4 linked regions of the Arabidopsis thaliana genome follow. The protein of the gene in region 1 interacts with the protein of each later gene in a pairwise test. Each region holds a gene or a part of one and is shown in the gene's direction. Other genes may lie near its edges.

Region 1 (4,204 bases):
AAACCAGGCAATAACATAATCTACCAATAACAATGTATTGTATTTCCTTTTAGTTGAGAAATTAAATATTTGACCACATTATCTGAATTTTCTTGTCGTCTTAATAACTAATTATCATTATTCATTTTTGGCAGGATCTTTTTTTCTTTGTTAAAGGGTCTACTTTTTTTTTTGATAAAGCAGTCTTTTATTTTTAAAACATGCATCACAAAATTTACCTTCATGAATCAATTCCCTGTGAGACAATGATATGATTTAAAGTTTACATGTAAAATATTCTATACCGTGGAAAAACACTCATTTCATTGTTATATAACGAAAAATATGAATTATATGGACGCAAAATAACTATTTACTAGATATATCGATGTTATAGAAATAATATTATATTAAAAAAAACGATATATACGGTTTAGTGTTAGTGTAAGTTTATATTTTTGGCACTTGTTGAAAACGTTATGATAACTTGTTTATTATCAACCTAACATGTTTTATACGGCTATACCGCATAAAGTGTAGAATTAATTTTACCTCTTTATATGACACAATAATATTTAACATGTAACAAGAGCAAGGGGTTACTTGTCAAATACGCCTATGCACTAAACAATGATAAATTGGTCATTCTCCTAATTTAAAAAGTCACTTTATCATTCTTCTCTAATACCAAACCTTTCTATATAATCACTCTTAAACCGGCCGATAACTTGTTTTCCAAATAATCTAAAACTTATACTAACCAAATTTAACTAAAATAGTAATAATTTCTTACAAATATCAAATCAAAAAATTTCAAATCCCTGACTTGTCAAATCAACCATGTTTCGGACTGAGACCAAAGTCTCTGCAATTCAATGACACATGTATATTATATAGTATTGTTTCATTAATCACACATGTATTTTGACCGTTAACATGCCTTGTTCTTTACGTATGTTGCACTGCAACAACGCTTTGTCGTTAATTTACCTAACTTAGTAAAAACAAAATACATGTCTTAGATTATCAGTTATTCAAACTTGTCGTTATGTAATTGTTATTGAAGTAAACAGAAACTCTGGTGCGATGCAGGACGTTACTCAAACTGAGTCACTTCGATCGGATGTCTTAATTCAAGCAGGACAATCTAGCTTTGCTACTGAAATTTGATGACACGATGATATATATCTATTTCCAACCGATGAAGCACACTGGAGATCCGTTTGGATTTTTATTGTTTTTACTTTTTTACACTATCGTAATCATTCTTTACATATTTCCTTTTTATTTTCTCCTTAGAAGAGAAATTATTTGTATACAAAACTTAGAAGGCTAAATAAGCATATTTATTCAGTATAATCACTGTAACCACACCTTATTCAATAAAATTCTTATTTTGAATCTGTCTATTTATGTATATGATATTGCTATAGTGATGACAGATGAGTAAACATTAAACATACACGCAACATAGCTATCTTGAAAACTGTTTGATGATTTGAGACAAAGAGACCAAAACAAATGGAACCTTCTTCACATATCTATCACACGTCCTCATACACCACCCATATTCTGCCATGTGTTCTCACTCCATCAATATTAATTATTTTTAGGGTTAATAGAGATGGTTTAGTCTCATGCTTTTTGTTTATTACTTTTTTTCTTTGGTCAGAGCTTTTTGTTTGTTAGTAAGGACTTTAAAGATAGAGAGTAAAAATTACTCTTTTGTTTTGTCAACATAATAAGCAGTTTTTTTCTACTTCATTTTGTCTCCGTATTTCATCAAGAAAAGACACGTATTTAGATAGATGATGGAAGGGCGGTACCAAATCTCCTTGACTTGACTTTGCATGTACCATATATATATTTGTATATACATAAATCATAATTCATGAAGAAACCAAATTTTCTCTGTAATCAAGTTCTCAAAGCTTATTAGCTTCTCTCTCTAGTTCTCTCACATATAACATTTGAAAAAGATGGGAAAATCTTCAAGCTCGGAGGAAAGTGAAGTGAAGAAAGGGCCATGGACTCCGGAGGAAGACGAGAAGCTCGTAGGCTATATTCAAACGCACGGTCCCGGCAAATGGCGTACCCTTCCCAAGAACGCCGGTAAATTCCTACCCTAACGCATGTATATATACAAATAGCTAAATCCTATCAGCTACAATATGTTTTCCTGCGTTTTGTTTTACGTTTATGTTTAAAATTTACTAATAATGATTATCATGCTAGATCATGTCAACGTTAGAATTAAAATTAAAACAATCATGGTTCTTATTCGTTTTTCTTGGTGTGAATCTTAAAAGGGTTAAAAAGATGCGGGAAGAGTTGTAGATTGCGATGGACGAATTATCTAAGACCCGATATCAAGAGAGGAGAGTTCTCTCTTCAAGAGGAAGAAACCATCATTCAACTTCATCGTCTTCTTGGAAACAAGTTAGTCTATCTGCAATTTTTCATTTCTTCATTTAGTGTATAATTGTTTACATGTATGATTAAATTAAGTAAAAAATGACCTAGTTTTCCACTACTACACCTACTTCATTGGACTTCCATGTCTTTACATTTTTGTTATAATATTACTTGCATATTTTATTTTATTCAACTAAAAGACAAGAACATAGTTAAGCACTATACCAAGGTCAAATGTCTAAAGCTAAGCATGCAATCTTCAACTCGCTGCAGCTAATATCTTAACAAGTTAAAACTTATACTTCTCTTTTTGATTTTAACTTAAAATCTATAACACGATATTTTTTCTTCTATAGATGGTCCGCAATTGCTATTCACTTACCAGGAAGAACAGATAATGAAATCAAAAACTATTGGAACACACATATTAAAAAGAAACTCTTACGAATGGGGATTGATCCGGTGACTCATTGTCCCCGCATTAATCTTCTCCAGCTCTCTTCGTTTCTTACCTCATCATTGTTTAAATCTATGTCACAACCGATGAATACTCCATTTGATCTCACTACTTCAAATATTAATCCTGATATCTTGAATCATCTCACTGCCTCTCTCAACAACGTTCAGACCGAATCATACCAACCAAACCAACAGCTTCAAAACGACCTAAACACTGACCAAACCACTTTCACCGGTTTGCTCAACTCAACACCACCCGTTCAATGGCAAAACAATGGAGAATACTTGGGAGATTATCACAGTTATACCGGTACAGGTGATCCATCTAATAACAAAGTCCCTCAAGCCGGAAACTACTCATCAGCCGCATTTGTATCCGACCACATTAATGATGGTGAGAATTTTAAGGCCGGATGGAATTTCAGTTCATCAATGCTAGCGGGAACTTCATCGAGCAGCTCGACACCGTTGAATTCGTCTTCGACTTTTTATGTCAATGGTGGAAGCGAAGATGATAGAGAGAGTTTTGGTAGCGACATGTTGATGTTTCATCATCATCATGATCATAATAATAATGCTTTGAATCTATCATAATGTCTTATTTATTTTGCTTCTTGATCTTATTTGTTTTATTTTTACTTTTTTTTAATGGGGGTTTGTAATTGTGTTACATACTTTGTAATATAAGAGCTTAGTCTATTATTATGTTGACTCTTTTTTTTTTTTTTGTTCTACTTTTTTTGATCCGAAAAGGTTTCTATTTGTTTACACTTAAAAAAGTTATAAAACCTAAGAGGATAACAGCTAGTGTACCTTTATCTTGACTTTGTTCTTCTACTAATTGTTTTTTCTGCTTCGAAGAACTTTACATTAGTCGACTCTCAAAAGGTCATAAGATGGTTGATAAGTGTGTTACGTACATACTTAGTATTTTAAGAGTTAAGTGTATTCTTAATCTTGGATTTCTTGTGCATTTTCTTCCACTAATTGTTCTTATTTTCCAATTCGAAGAACTTTCCATTCGTTATACCTAAAAGGTCTTCAACTTGTACGAAAATTTTCTGGTGTTATAGTTTTATTATTCTATTTGCACCATCTTGATTTTGATGATTAAGAACACATTTGGTGGAGCAGGAGACAATAGTGATTATATTTAATTGGTCATAGACTCATAAAGGGGAGTTTTCAATTTCATAATACAAGAAAAAAGAAATAATCGACTTGTTTTCCCTTATGATTGGTTTGAAATCAGCACAAATAAATAGTAATACACCTAAAAGGAAGATTTAAATAGTTATCCACTATGAGAAAATGTGTATGAAAGATTAAAATAGAAAATATATAGTCAACG
Region 2 (4,016 bases), 2.4 Mb from region 1:
TGCATGAATTGCTTAAAGACTGCAACATTCCGCTGGACGTTCCGGTGAAGCCAAGAAAGGTTTGAAGTCTCGTCTGATTGCCCAATTTATATTCCCTCGTTTTAAATCTCTATATTGAAGTGTATCTTTGTCATCACGAGGTGTCAAAATTCTGGCAAGCCAAGTTCTTGAGGATATTATTGTTTAAGAGCAGCAAGTATATCTTTATTTGTCGTGAAGATCCTTTGCAAGCTTCTTGAAATGGACTGCTTTGGTATTTTTTTAAATTGCAGTATCCAACTTTGCCTTGCAGGGGCATCTGCTTGTGGTAGAGAACTTTGATTCATTCCACTTAAATCATGGGATAATGGAGGCTGGTTACTCGAATCATCAAAGTGCTTCAGTTTCAGGATTGGATGTCGATGAACGGATGCTATCTATTTCCATGACAGCCACAATGGACACATCAGGAAACCTTGTTCTTGGTAATTTCATCAATCTATGTCCACTAAAATCCATGTTCTTCTTATTATGTGTGCTTAACATATTTATCAGTCACACACAATATATCTCTTATCTTCATTTAGCCATCTCTAATTTCAGGGAGCAGCCGTGAGTTTGTCGGGTTCGACACTGAAGCTGATGAGTTTATCATCCGTTGCATATGGGAGCGTGCTGCAGAATTCTTTCCTAAGTTACGTGATATTTCCCTCGAAGATTTCATCCGTAACAGGAAAGTGAGAGTCGGGTTGCGCCCTTACAGTAAGCTTCTTGCATCTAATGCTCCAAACCAAAAGTACTTGAAGCCGGCCTTTGGAATGTTCACAAAACCTGAACTTTTCTTTTAACTGATCATAGTGCCTGACGGGAAGCCAGTGATAGGATCCGTGCCCGGATTACAAAACATGTACTTAGCAGCTGGGCATGAAGGAGGTGGACTTTCCATGGTAAGTAACATTCATTCTAATCCTCTAACACCTTTCTCAAGAACCCAATCATGATTCACGGTTTCTTGAAATCGTTTAGGCTCTAGCAACAGCGGAAATGGTAACGGACATGGTACTAGGAAAACCATCACAAGTGGATACTTCAACGTTTGGGGTTAAAGGGCGTCGTTGTTGCTGATGAAATAGAAGCAGTTTGGTTTAGTTAAGAGAGTGAATCCTCTTAAGCATTGTGGTTGCTATAAACGGGGTCTTAAAGGAAATGTCTATGAGCTACATAAATCTAGTGTTGGTTTAGTCCGGTTTTAGTATACTAAGACCAATTCTAATTCTACGTCTTTAAACCAGACTTTTTCTCTAGCTTTCGACATGCATGATCTATTTTTAATACGGTTGATTACAAATATGTTCCATTCAAAATATTCTCAAACAATAATTTAACCATTTATACGCATATTAGCAAAGATATGTCATTCGAATTTGACCAAAAATGCGCACATGGTTATCATATCCTAGAAAACTTTCAAATCAGTGATTATCACATTCCATATTCAAACTATTGCTATTTATTTATTTCAATATATCTATATATATAATATTAATTGTCAACAAACATATAAAACCACAAGTAGTGATGCTAGTTGAAGTTTTTTCTTTTTCTTATTAACGTATAAGTCTTTTGAGTCTATGACCATCTACATCCATCAGTAGTTTTTAAATTTATCTATCAACTTGACATACATATAGGACTGGCTTTGCCTAAATGGTTGGCCCTCCTATGTCAACTTGATATACATATAGTAATCTTTTAAAATATATATATCTAGTTGTTCTGGTCGGACCGTATTATTGTGTGTACAAGTTCGTACATATTAACGTGTGTGATGTCTATATGTTAAAATGTCAACTCTAATTAGCTATATATACGTTCTTAATTCTCCTAGTAATTATATCCATATCTTAAAACTTTCCAACAATCTTAAACACAAACACGCAAAAGATGGAAAAGAGTCTTCTTGTCCTCTGTCTCATTTTGTTTTTTACTTATAGTTACGTCTCGGCTAATTACTATCCACCTAAAGCCTTAGTATCAACCGTCTCTAAGAACACAATCTTGCCTATCTTCACCTTCACACTCAACACAAACCAAGAGTTTTTCATTCACATCGGCGGTCCCTATCTTGTCCGTAAATGCAACGATGGTCTCCCTCGTCCCATCGTCCCTTGTGGCTCCCCCGTATGTGCTCTAACTCGTAGATTCACTCCTCACCAATGCTCTCTTCCCAGCAACAAAATCATCAATGGAGTATGTGCTTGCCAAGCAACCGCTTTTGAGCCATTCCAACGTATATGTAACTCTGACCAATTCACCTATGGAGATTTATCCATCTCTTCTCTAAAACCTATATCTCCTTCGGTCACGATCAACAACGTTTATTACCTATGCATCCCCCAACCGTTCCTTGTAGACTTCCCTCCCGGTGTTTTCGGCCTTGCGGGGCTTGCACCTACGGCTCTCGCCACTTGGAACCAGCTGACTCGACCTAGACTCGGACTCGAGAAGAAGTTTGCGTTGTGTCTTCCTTCTGATGAAAACCCTTTGAAAAAAGGTGCTATTTACTTTGGTGGAGGTCCGTACAAGCTCAGAAACATTGATGCAAGATCTATGCTCTCTTACACTCGATTGATTACAAACCCTAGAAAACTCAACAACTATTTCTTGGGACTCAAGGGTATTTCCGTTAACGGGAATAGGATCTTGTTTGCCCCAAACGCTTTTGCTTTTGACCGCAACGGTGATGGAGGCGTTACTCTAAGCACCATATTCCCTTTCACTATGTTACGAAGCGACATATACAGAGTCTTTATCGAAGCATTCTCACAAGCCACATCGGGTATTCCACGTGTCAGTAGCACGACACCCTTTGAGTTTTGTCTTTCGACGACGACAAATTTCCAAGTGCCTAGGATCGATCTAGAGCTAGCTAATGGTGTGATTTGGAAATTGTCTCCCGCAAACGCGATGAAGAAGGTCAGCGATGACGTGGCTTGCTTGGCTTTTGTCAACGGAGGAGATGCGGCGGCGCAGGCGGTGATGATAGGAATACATCAGATGGAAAATACTTTGGTGGAGTTTGACGTTGGAAGATCTGCTTTTGGATTTAGTTCTTCTTTGGGTTTGGTCAGCGCTTCATGCGGCGACTTTCAAACACGGCCATGAGAATGTCAAAACAACTTGATAGTTGACATTATCTTGTGATTGAATATTTATTTGTCAGTACTCTGGCTTCATTTGTTATGTAACATTCATGTCAAGTGTGGTTTTAAAAAATTTAGTCAATGACGAATGTCAAAGAATGTAATAAAACACTAAAGTTTTATCTTATTATTAATGAACCTTAATATATAAGTTGCGTCGACAAGTCATTTCACTTTATATAATATTAAAGATGTTACATAAGTTTGATAAACCATGTCAATTATTGCTGATGATTTTTTTCTTACTTCCTTTGTTACTATTAGTGATTTATTTGGTTATTTTTCGTCAAACCATGTCATTATATTAAAGGGGTTATATAAGTTTAAACTACTATGACTACTAAACGATATGTAGTTAGTGAAGTGACTTCTTGCAGATTTAGCAAATACCTCAGCTACTTGGTTAGCTCCTTTTTCACAAAACTACAAGTGGGATGAGCTAACTCTAGTACATCTCTAATTACAGTATGTTGGTATGGCAAGATATTTTCGAAAAACCACCAGATAAAATTACCTAATTAAAAATCAAGCATCTTAATATATAAGACTCTCATTCAAAGTGCTACGTATCTAATCTTAAAACTTAAATGGCTTATAAATGGATTTTTTTCAGTGGTGAAAAATCCCAAATTATGTTCAATCCAAGGATCGTTCATTTTTGCACTTTTTAAGTTTCTAATTGAGTACAACGATATATGTCAATGTCAGTGTAATAATACAAAAAAGTTGTAAACTAAAGTCGGAATTATTTGATTTTCTTGTGTTAAACCCATAAATCCGATTCTCCAATCCAAAGCATATGAAGAACAAACACTACATGAGAAGGTTTTGCTT
Region 3 (3,674 bases), on another chromosome or scaffold:
GATGTAAGTCATTCTATTCAAATATTTTTTTTCATGAAGTAATTTTCTGGTTTTAAAGCAAAGTAATAGATTATTTATAATTTTTTTAATTTTAATGGCTTAAGGCTAAAGTGACGTTGGATCGATGAAGCCGCCATAGTTCACAAATGGCCGAATTTAATTTGTTGTTTGTATTTAATAAGTCAAAAGAGATTTCCGAGAAGCAAGGTGAACGTAACCTTAAACTAATCATTAGAACATTAATTATATAAGTTGCGTTTATCATTAATATTGTTGCTTAAAATTACAAACTTTCAAAATCCCATGGTTAAGATAATTAGTGTTTCAGAGCCTAAGACGGAACGGAACTTGTGTAATTTTGTAAGAATAAACATATTAACTTCGTGTCTAAAAAAAAACATACTACACTGACTTCGTTTTCTAATAAGTAATTGTTGTAGAATTTTAATTTATTTCTGTTTATGTAAACTGTTATTTTGTATGTTTAATGCATATATTTTAGACAAGATACTTCTATCCATAATAGTTAGCTTATTAATAGAGGTATAATAATCTTTTTAGATTTCATATTATATTTAGTACTATTGGTTTTAGAAAAATGGAAAAAGGTCAAATAAATAATAGGAACACCACTGGTTTATATTTCTTTTCTGGATTGTGTATACTTTTTAGAAGAAAACTAAAACGGCATGTTGAAAAGGAAACCAAGAGGATAGTAATTAGGTCAGATTACTTGTTTAGTTACAAGAAAGTCAAGAAATCTCATAATTGAGTTTAAAACTTTAAACATTTGCATGGAAGTCAATAAATCTATAATCCTTACTCGTGATCATCTTATTGTTTCCGTGTAACGAAATTAAACGCGTAAAACATCGCGTAAACTATAGTACGGTATGTGATATGCAAATATATCTTAATTTATTTTTTATTTTTTATTTTTCTTGGGCAATGAATTGAAGAGTTGCAAAATTATTTGCCAGCTTACCACATGCGGCCACAATTTTAACCATGATTAATCTTCTTTTGGAATTTAGCGAGATAAATCAAGAGTAGGTTTATTTTAGAACATAGTATATAATACACTAATGAAAAGTCTCGTTAAAACGTGTTTCACGTAACCGACCTCTAAAGTATGGCGTGCGAGTAACGACAAATGAAATCTCAAATGAAAATGGAGATTATTTTAATCTTAATTATAACACACTAATTAACACCCGTCAAACATCCTGATATGTGAACGTGGAATCTCGTTACACAATCGAATAAAATTATTGCTTAATACGATCCGTCTTTCTCTCTCTTTCGTAATGATTATCTATCAATATTATCTTGACTAATAAAAGTATCGCAAGGCCTTGGCAGTCACATGTTAAATGATGATATACGTTGTTGCATGTTAAAACATAGTACAACGATCATCTAGGCTGCTGCTAAATTCTATTTTCAAAAATGCCTTTTATATGCAAGAAAAGCAAAATAATCGAGTTTTTTTTTTTGTTTCATTATAAACTGCTTCATTTTTCTTAGGAACGGCCAAACTGTTAAAAAGTAAAATATGTATGGTGATTAATTGATGTAACCAAAGCCAGTTCGCCCGTTTGATTGTCAACCCACGTTATCATTCACTTGATCACTTCCATGAAACATATAAAAGCTGATAATACTTATATTATAAAGGAAAAAAAGTATGAAAATATTATCAGTAGTTAGATGATTAGTTCACATCTAAATGAAATACGACTTAAACTGAAAGAGACATGAGCCAATTCGTGTCGAGCCACAAATTTTGGACGTATATTTTTAGCCCGTGGTTCCACAATATTTGCAGGTCTTTTTATTCAATGAGTTTATTTTGTCTTGGTTGAATAATGAAATTTCCAAATATAAAAAATAATAGAAATCCGAGGCCCTACACAAGCACACATAGTAACTCCCACATTATATATAAGCGGCCAATATCAGCAACTCAGAGATTCCAGAAAGAAAGAAAAAAAAGAAACAAATAATTCCAAAACCTTCTCTCTTAATCAAAATCAAGAAACTTACAAGATCTGGTGAAAACCATGGAAGAAGGAGATTTTTTCAACTGCTGTTTCAGCGAGATTAGTAGTGGCATGACCATGAATAAGAAGAAGATGAAGAAGAGCAATAACCAAAAGAGGTTTAGCGAGGAACAGATCAAGTCACTTGAGCTTATATTTGAGTCTGAGACGAGGCTTGAGCCGAGGAAGAAGGTTCAGGTAGCTAGAGAGCTAGGGCTGCAACCAAGACAAGTGGCTATATGGTTTCAAAACAAGAGGGCTCGATGGAAAACTAAGCAACTTGAGAAAGAGTATAACACTCTTAGAGCCAATTACAACAATTTGGCTTCACAATTTGAAATCATGAAGAAAGAAAAGCAATCTCTGGTCTCTGAGGTACATAATGATTCTATCGATATCTTTATCTTTAATTGAACAGTGATAGAAACAATAATTGATAATGATCTTTTTTTTTTATAAAGTATAAAATAGCAAATACAGTCTTGGCATTTATTGGTTTTTGGGGGATGTAAATTCTCGATCATTTTGCCTAATTTGATATTAATCAATCTCTATTTGCAGCTGCAGAGACTAAACGAAGAGATGCAAAGGCCTAAAGAAGAAAAGCATCATGAGTGTTGTGGTGATCAAGGACTGGCTCTAAGCAGCAGCACAGAGTCGCATAATGGAAAGAGTGAGCCAGAAGGGAGGTTAGACCAAGGGAGTGTTCTATGTAATGATGGTGATTACAACAACAACATTAAAACAGAGTATTTTGGGTTCGAGGAAGAGACTGATCATGAGCTGATGAACATTGTGGAGAAAGCTGATGATAGTTGCTTGACATCTTCTGAGAATTGGGGAGGTTTCAATTCTGATTCTCTCTTAGACCAATCTAGCAGCAATTACCCTAACTGGTGGGAGTTTTGGTCATAAAAGCATATAAGAAAAAAACAGAACATAAGCGAAGAGAAAGAGTGTGAATAGTTTGTAAATTATGTGTTAAGAAAAATAAATTTAGTTTAGTTTAAATCTTGTTTCGATCTATGTATCTACTATGTTCAATACTCTTTGTAGCTAATTAGTAGCTTATAATGAGACTAGAAAAGTTTTGAAGTCACCAAGGTTAAATTTGTGATTGCAAGTTGGCTCTAAGAGTGTTGGACCAAGCGTAATGATCACAAGTACAAGAGTCTTCGTCCATAATGATCTCGAAACGGACTAAAAATTGACCTAAATTTGAAACTAAGTGCATTTATCTCTATATTGGTGCTCTGCTATAATGCTTTCAATATCCTCGAGATGAATTGTCTATGAATTTTATCACCAAATATCAGTTTTGATCACATTCCGGTTCATCAGCTCAGGTTACTCTGTCACTCCCTTCCTATGAGATATTTGTAGCTGGATTGGCAGATATGGAACAACTTCTTGTAGATGCAGAACTAGTTCCTTTTGGTGTTTGTCTTTCCAGTTTATAAGGAACAATCGAGTCATGATAATCTTCCTATGATTGATGTCATGTGGGACATGTGCTTTGTAACCAGACTCTCAACAGAATGTAAAAGAATGGCTCTAAGTCAAGTCTTTATAGTGTCCTTAATCTTGTAGCAACGGTAGCCCCTGGATCATCCCTTCTTCCTTGAGAAATCA
Region 4 (3,293 bases), on another chromosome or scaffold:
AGCAAATCACCCGAAACTGTAAGTTAACAACAAACAACGTATGGAAACTATGTATAGAACTATCGTGTCACTCTATTCTTACCGGAATATAATATTATGCAGGTTGCATTAATGGCTTCCATTAAAAAGTTGCTGGACCCAAAGGGAATTCTCAACCCTTACAAAGTTCTTCCTCACTCTCTCTTCTCCAACTAAGGTAAAAGATTATTATGCTTTATGATTACGCACCGAAATTATTGAAAGCATCTATCTTTCTATCTATGAATGCTCTTCCAACGTCAAAAGTGAAGAATCATCATCTTTTACTTTGGAATCATTGACATTCTTTTTTCGGCGAATGCAAGGGTGGTGATGAGATGATTCTTCAAACAGGAATTTGGAACATGAGCAGCCAAGTTTGAGCGATATGATTGATGCAAAGGAACAAAAATACAAGTGCTGATTAAAAAGTCTTTAAACTCAAAAGTGTATATGCTTCGCTTCTTCTTCTTTGTTGTTGTTGTTGTTGTTACCTTGTTTTAATATCTTTTTAGTAAAGGATAAGAAAGAATCTAAACCTATTGATCTTACGTGTATTTAAAGTTAAAATTTGCAGTGTATGTAGACCAAAACTCGAAAAGATAATCTATAATAATAGTATTTTCAAGAATCTTCACATAATATCTTTCTATTCTTGGAATTTCTGTTGTAATGGATTTTCTTATTTTGTTCACAAAAAGACTTTATTTTTATTTTTCCCCATAGTTCTGTTTTTACTTCATGTATTACCTTTCTTTAATGTCTTACTAGGAGAAACCAGATCGGTCAGATAAACCGGAATAATATCTGGTCCGATTGATTTGTATAAGTCTAACTAACTTCTCTAATTTAAGAGATAAGCTATAGATTTTAACATATTTGTTCTAAGTTCTACCAAGTATATATTCTTCTGAGACCTAAGTTGGACCTAACTAGATAGGAATATAAGATCCGTATTACCATAGTTCATAGACCATAGTTTCCATGGAACAAATGTGTACAAGTTTTGGTTTAAGGTGAAGCCAATGCATACAACAACATCATGCATCATAATTGTAATTATGACTAGTCAGTTTTGATATATAATCAAGTTGCTTACAACTTTTGTAACCATCGATCCATTCAAAATAATCAGAAGGACAAGGGCAATAAGACAATGAAAGCAATATATCATCGCTAAAAATCCAAGGCATCGTTGAATGATGGATCCATAAACCGGAAATAAATTAAAATAATGTTACAAGCCAACTTTTACCTGATGCATGTATCAATTCTTATTTTTGGTTAATATCAATAATATGCATGCATCAGTTTGGTTATCCTAAAATTTACATAACTCAGATATTCATAATGGTATGAGATTTTTAATTTAAGAAATTTGGTTTTCCGAAATAGATATTGGAATGTTTTATGATAATATTCCTAACTGGTTTGATCATGATCGCGAGAGTAGCAAAAGCGTGTAAGATTCGCTTCTCCAACACAAGTGGAAAGTCCCGGATTAAAGAGAGCCGACACAATAAAAACGACGTCGGATTGATGACTGGACATAGACCCAAACGCTTTAGACACATTGCAAAGATGATAAGACACTATAAAAAGCTCACTGGATATGGCTAAGGAGACAAAACACACACAATCTCTCTCTCTCACACTCACTGTAATAAACACAAATGACGAGTTCTTCTGAATCAACTCGCAAGGTTGGTTAATTGTTTCTTTAACTAAATATAACAGTACCTTTTTGGTTATAATTCCATTGTTGTCTTTGGTTTGATCATCTCTCTCTTGTTCTTACTATGTTAGGGTCTGACCAAAATCGCCACGAACCGGTTGCAGAAAGAGTTCATGGAGTGGCAAACCAATCCTCCTTCTGGTTTCAAGCACAGAGTCTCTGATAATCTCCAACGGTACATAATCATTTTATTGTCTTTCCTTCGAATATTGATAATCGGTGATGTAATGTTGAATTGTTGGTGTAAACAGATGGATCATTGAAGTGCATGGAGTTCCAGGAACTCTTTACGCCAATGAAACTTACCAACTTCAAGTTGAGTTCCCTGAGCATTATCCTATGGAAGCTCCACAGGTTCGTCCTCTAACTCCTTTTGTTAATACTTAACGATACTTAATCATCGCATCAATCTCATAACCCGATGGTTCCACATATAAAACAGGTTATCTTTCAGCATCCAGCTCCACTTCATCCTCATATTTACAGCAACGGTCACATTTGTTTAGGTAAGTACATACAAACACAATGACTCACTCTGTTTCAAAGTCCAATGACAAGACCCTTCTATGTGTTCTTTTGATTATGCAGATGTCTTGTATGATTCGTGGTCACCGGCGATGAGACTAAGTTCCATCTGTCTCAGCATTCTCTCAATGCTCTCCAGCTCATCCGTGAAGGTTTGTGTGTTTTATCTTCTTCTCATATTTCAAAGGCTTTCACAGAATAATCTTCTTCTTATGATGTTTATTGTTCTCTCCTTACAGCAAAAGCCGAAAGACAATGACCATTACTTGAAAAACTGCAAACATGGAAGATCTCCCAAAGAAACTAGGTGGCGTTTCCATGACGATAAAGTATAACATCTCCTATAATATTGTGATTACAAACGAATTGTAAGATCTCAGGTCGAGTTCTTGATCTGTTGCTATCTTTAAAACAAGAACAGCTTCTTTCTACAGTTTAACCATACGAAAAGCTTGAGCATAAAACTTGAAAATTTGGAAATAACATGATTCATTATTATATGAAAGAAATCATCAACTGTTAGTACAAACCAAGAACTGAGAGAATGATTGATCCAAAGAAGAGAGAACTTTGCTTCTAACAAGCCTTCGTGTATATTTGATAGAAGACAAAAATCTGTTTCTATCTCTAAAGAAAAGAGCTGCTGATGACTTTCCATCACATCTTACATTTGTAATAAACACTAGGAAGGACTACTCAGCAGAAGCTTCATTTGTTCTTGCTCATGCTCCATTTTAATAACACCTGCAATGTCAAAACCTAAAGCTTAAGCATATGAAGCAAACACGAATCATACAGATGCTAGAATACCTACTAAAAGTGTTTATAGACCAAGCAATTTCACATGTTTCCCAATAGACTACAAAAGCTATTCTAATTGCTCTTGCTCTGTACATTTCGACAAGAAACTTCAAAGGCCCTTCATGAAACTCAACGTCAAGCTCAGAACTTTACTCCCCTTACAAAAACAAAGCAAGCAACTTTATGCAATTCCAGAATCAAATTAATGTTCATT

The links.
Region 2: the proteins of MYB49 (region 1) and AT5G48430 interact in a two-hybrid assay, tested with the Arabidopsis thaliana proteins (one large-scale study listed by BioGRID).
Region 3: the proteins of MYB49 (region 1) and HB-12 interact in a two-hybrid assay, tested with the Arabidopsis thaliana proteins (one large-scale study listed by BioGRID).
Region 4: the proteins of MYB49 (region 1) and UBC17 interact in a two-hybrid assay, tested with the Arabidopsis thaliana proteins (one large-scale study listed by BioGRID).

The regions. Positions count from the first base shown.
Region 1 is NC_003076.8:22,015,600-22,019,803, reverse strand, and holds MYB49 (myb domain protein 49), read left to right. Parts: upstream 1-1,742; 5' UTR 1,743-1,958; coding exon 1,959-2,091; intron 2,092-2,288; coding exon 2,289-2,418; intron 2,419-2,750; coding exon 2,751-3,447; 3' UTR 3,448-3,661; downstream 3,662-4,204.
Region 2 is NC_003076.8:19,627,020-19,631,035, reverse strand, and holds AT5G48430 (Eukaryotic aspartyl protease family protein), read left to right. Parts: upstream 1-1,868; 5' UTR 1,869-1,923; coding exon 1,924-3,144; 3' UTR 3,145-3,402; downstream 3,403-4,016. Other genes in the region: AT5G48440 (FAD-dependent oxidoreductase family protein), read left to right, coding at 1-59, 293-464, 583-741, 838-926, 1,006-1,104.
Region 3 is NC_003074.8:22,913,629-22,917,302, reverse strand, and holds HB-12 (homeobox 12), read left to right. Parts: upstream 1-1,909; 5' UTR 1,910-2,063; coding exon 2,064-2,417; intron 2,418-2,603; coding exon 2,604-2,957; 3' UTR 2,958-3,149; downstream 3,150-3,674. UniProt on the Arabidopsis thaliana protein: Probable transcription activator that may act as growth regulators in response to water deficit.
Region 4 is NC_003075.7:17,200,278-17,203,570, forward strand, and holds UBC17 (ubiquitin-conjugating enzyme 17), read left to right. Parts: upstream 1-1,644; 5' UTR 1,645-1,691; coding exon 1,692-1,721; intron 1,722-1,824; coding exon 1,825-1,928; intron 1,929-2,004; coding exon 2,005-2,107; intron 2,108-2,195; coding exon 2,196-2,259; intron 2,260-2,341; coding exon 2,342-2,430; intron 2,431-2,517; coding exon 2,518-2,613; 3' UTR 2,614-2,711; downstream 2,712-3,293. Other genes in the region: D2HGDH (FAD-linked oxidases family protein), read left to right, coding at 1-18, 103-195. UniProt on the Arabidopsis thaliana protein: Accepts the ubiquitin from the E1 complex and catalyzes its covalent attachment to other proteins.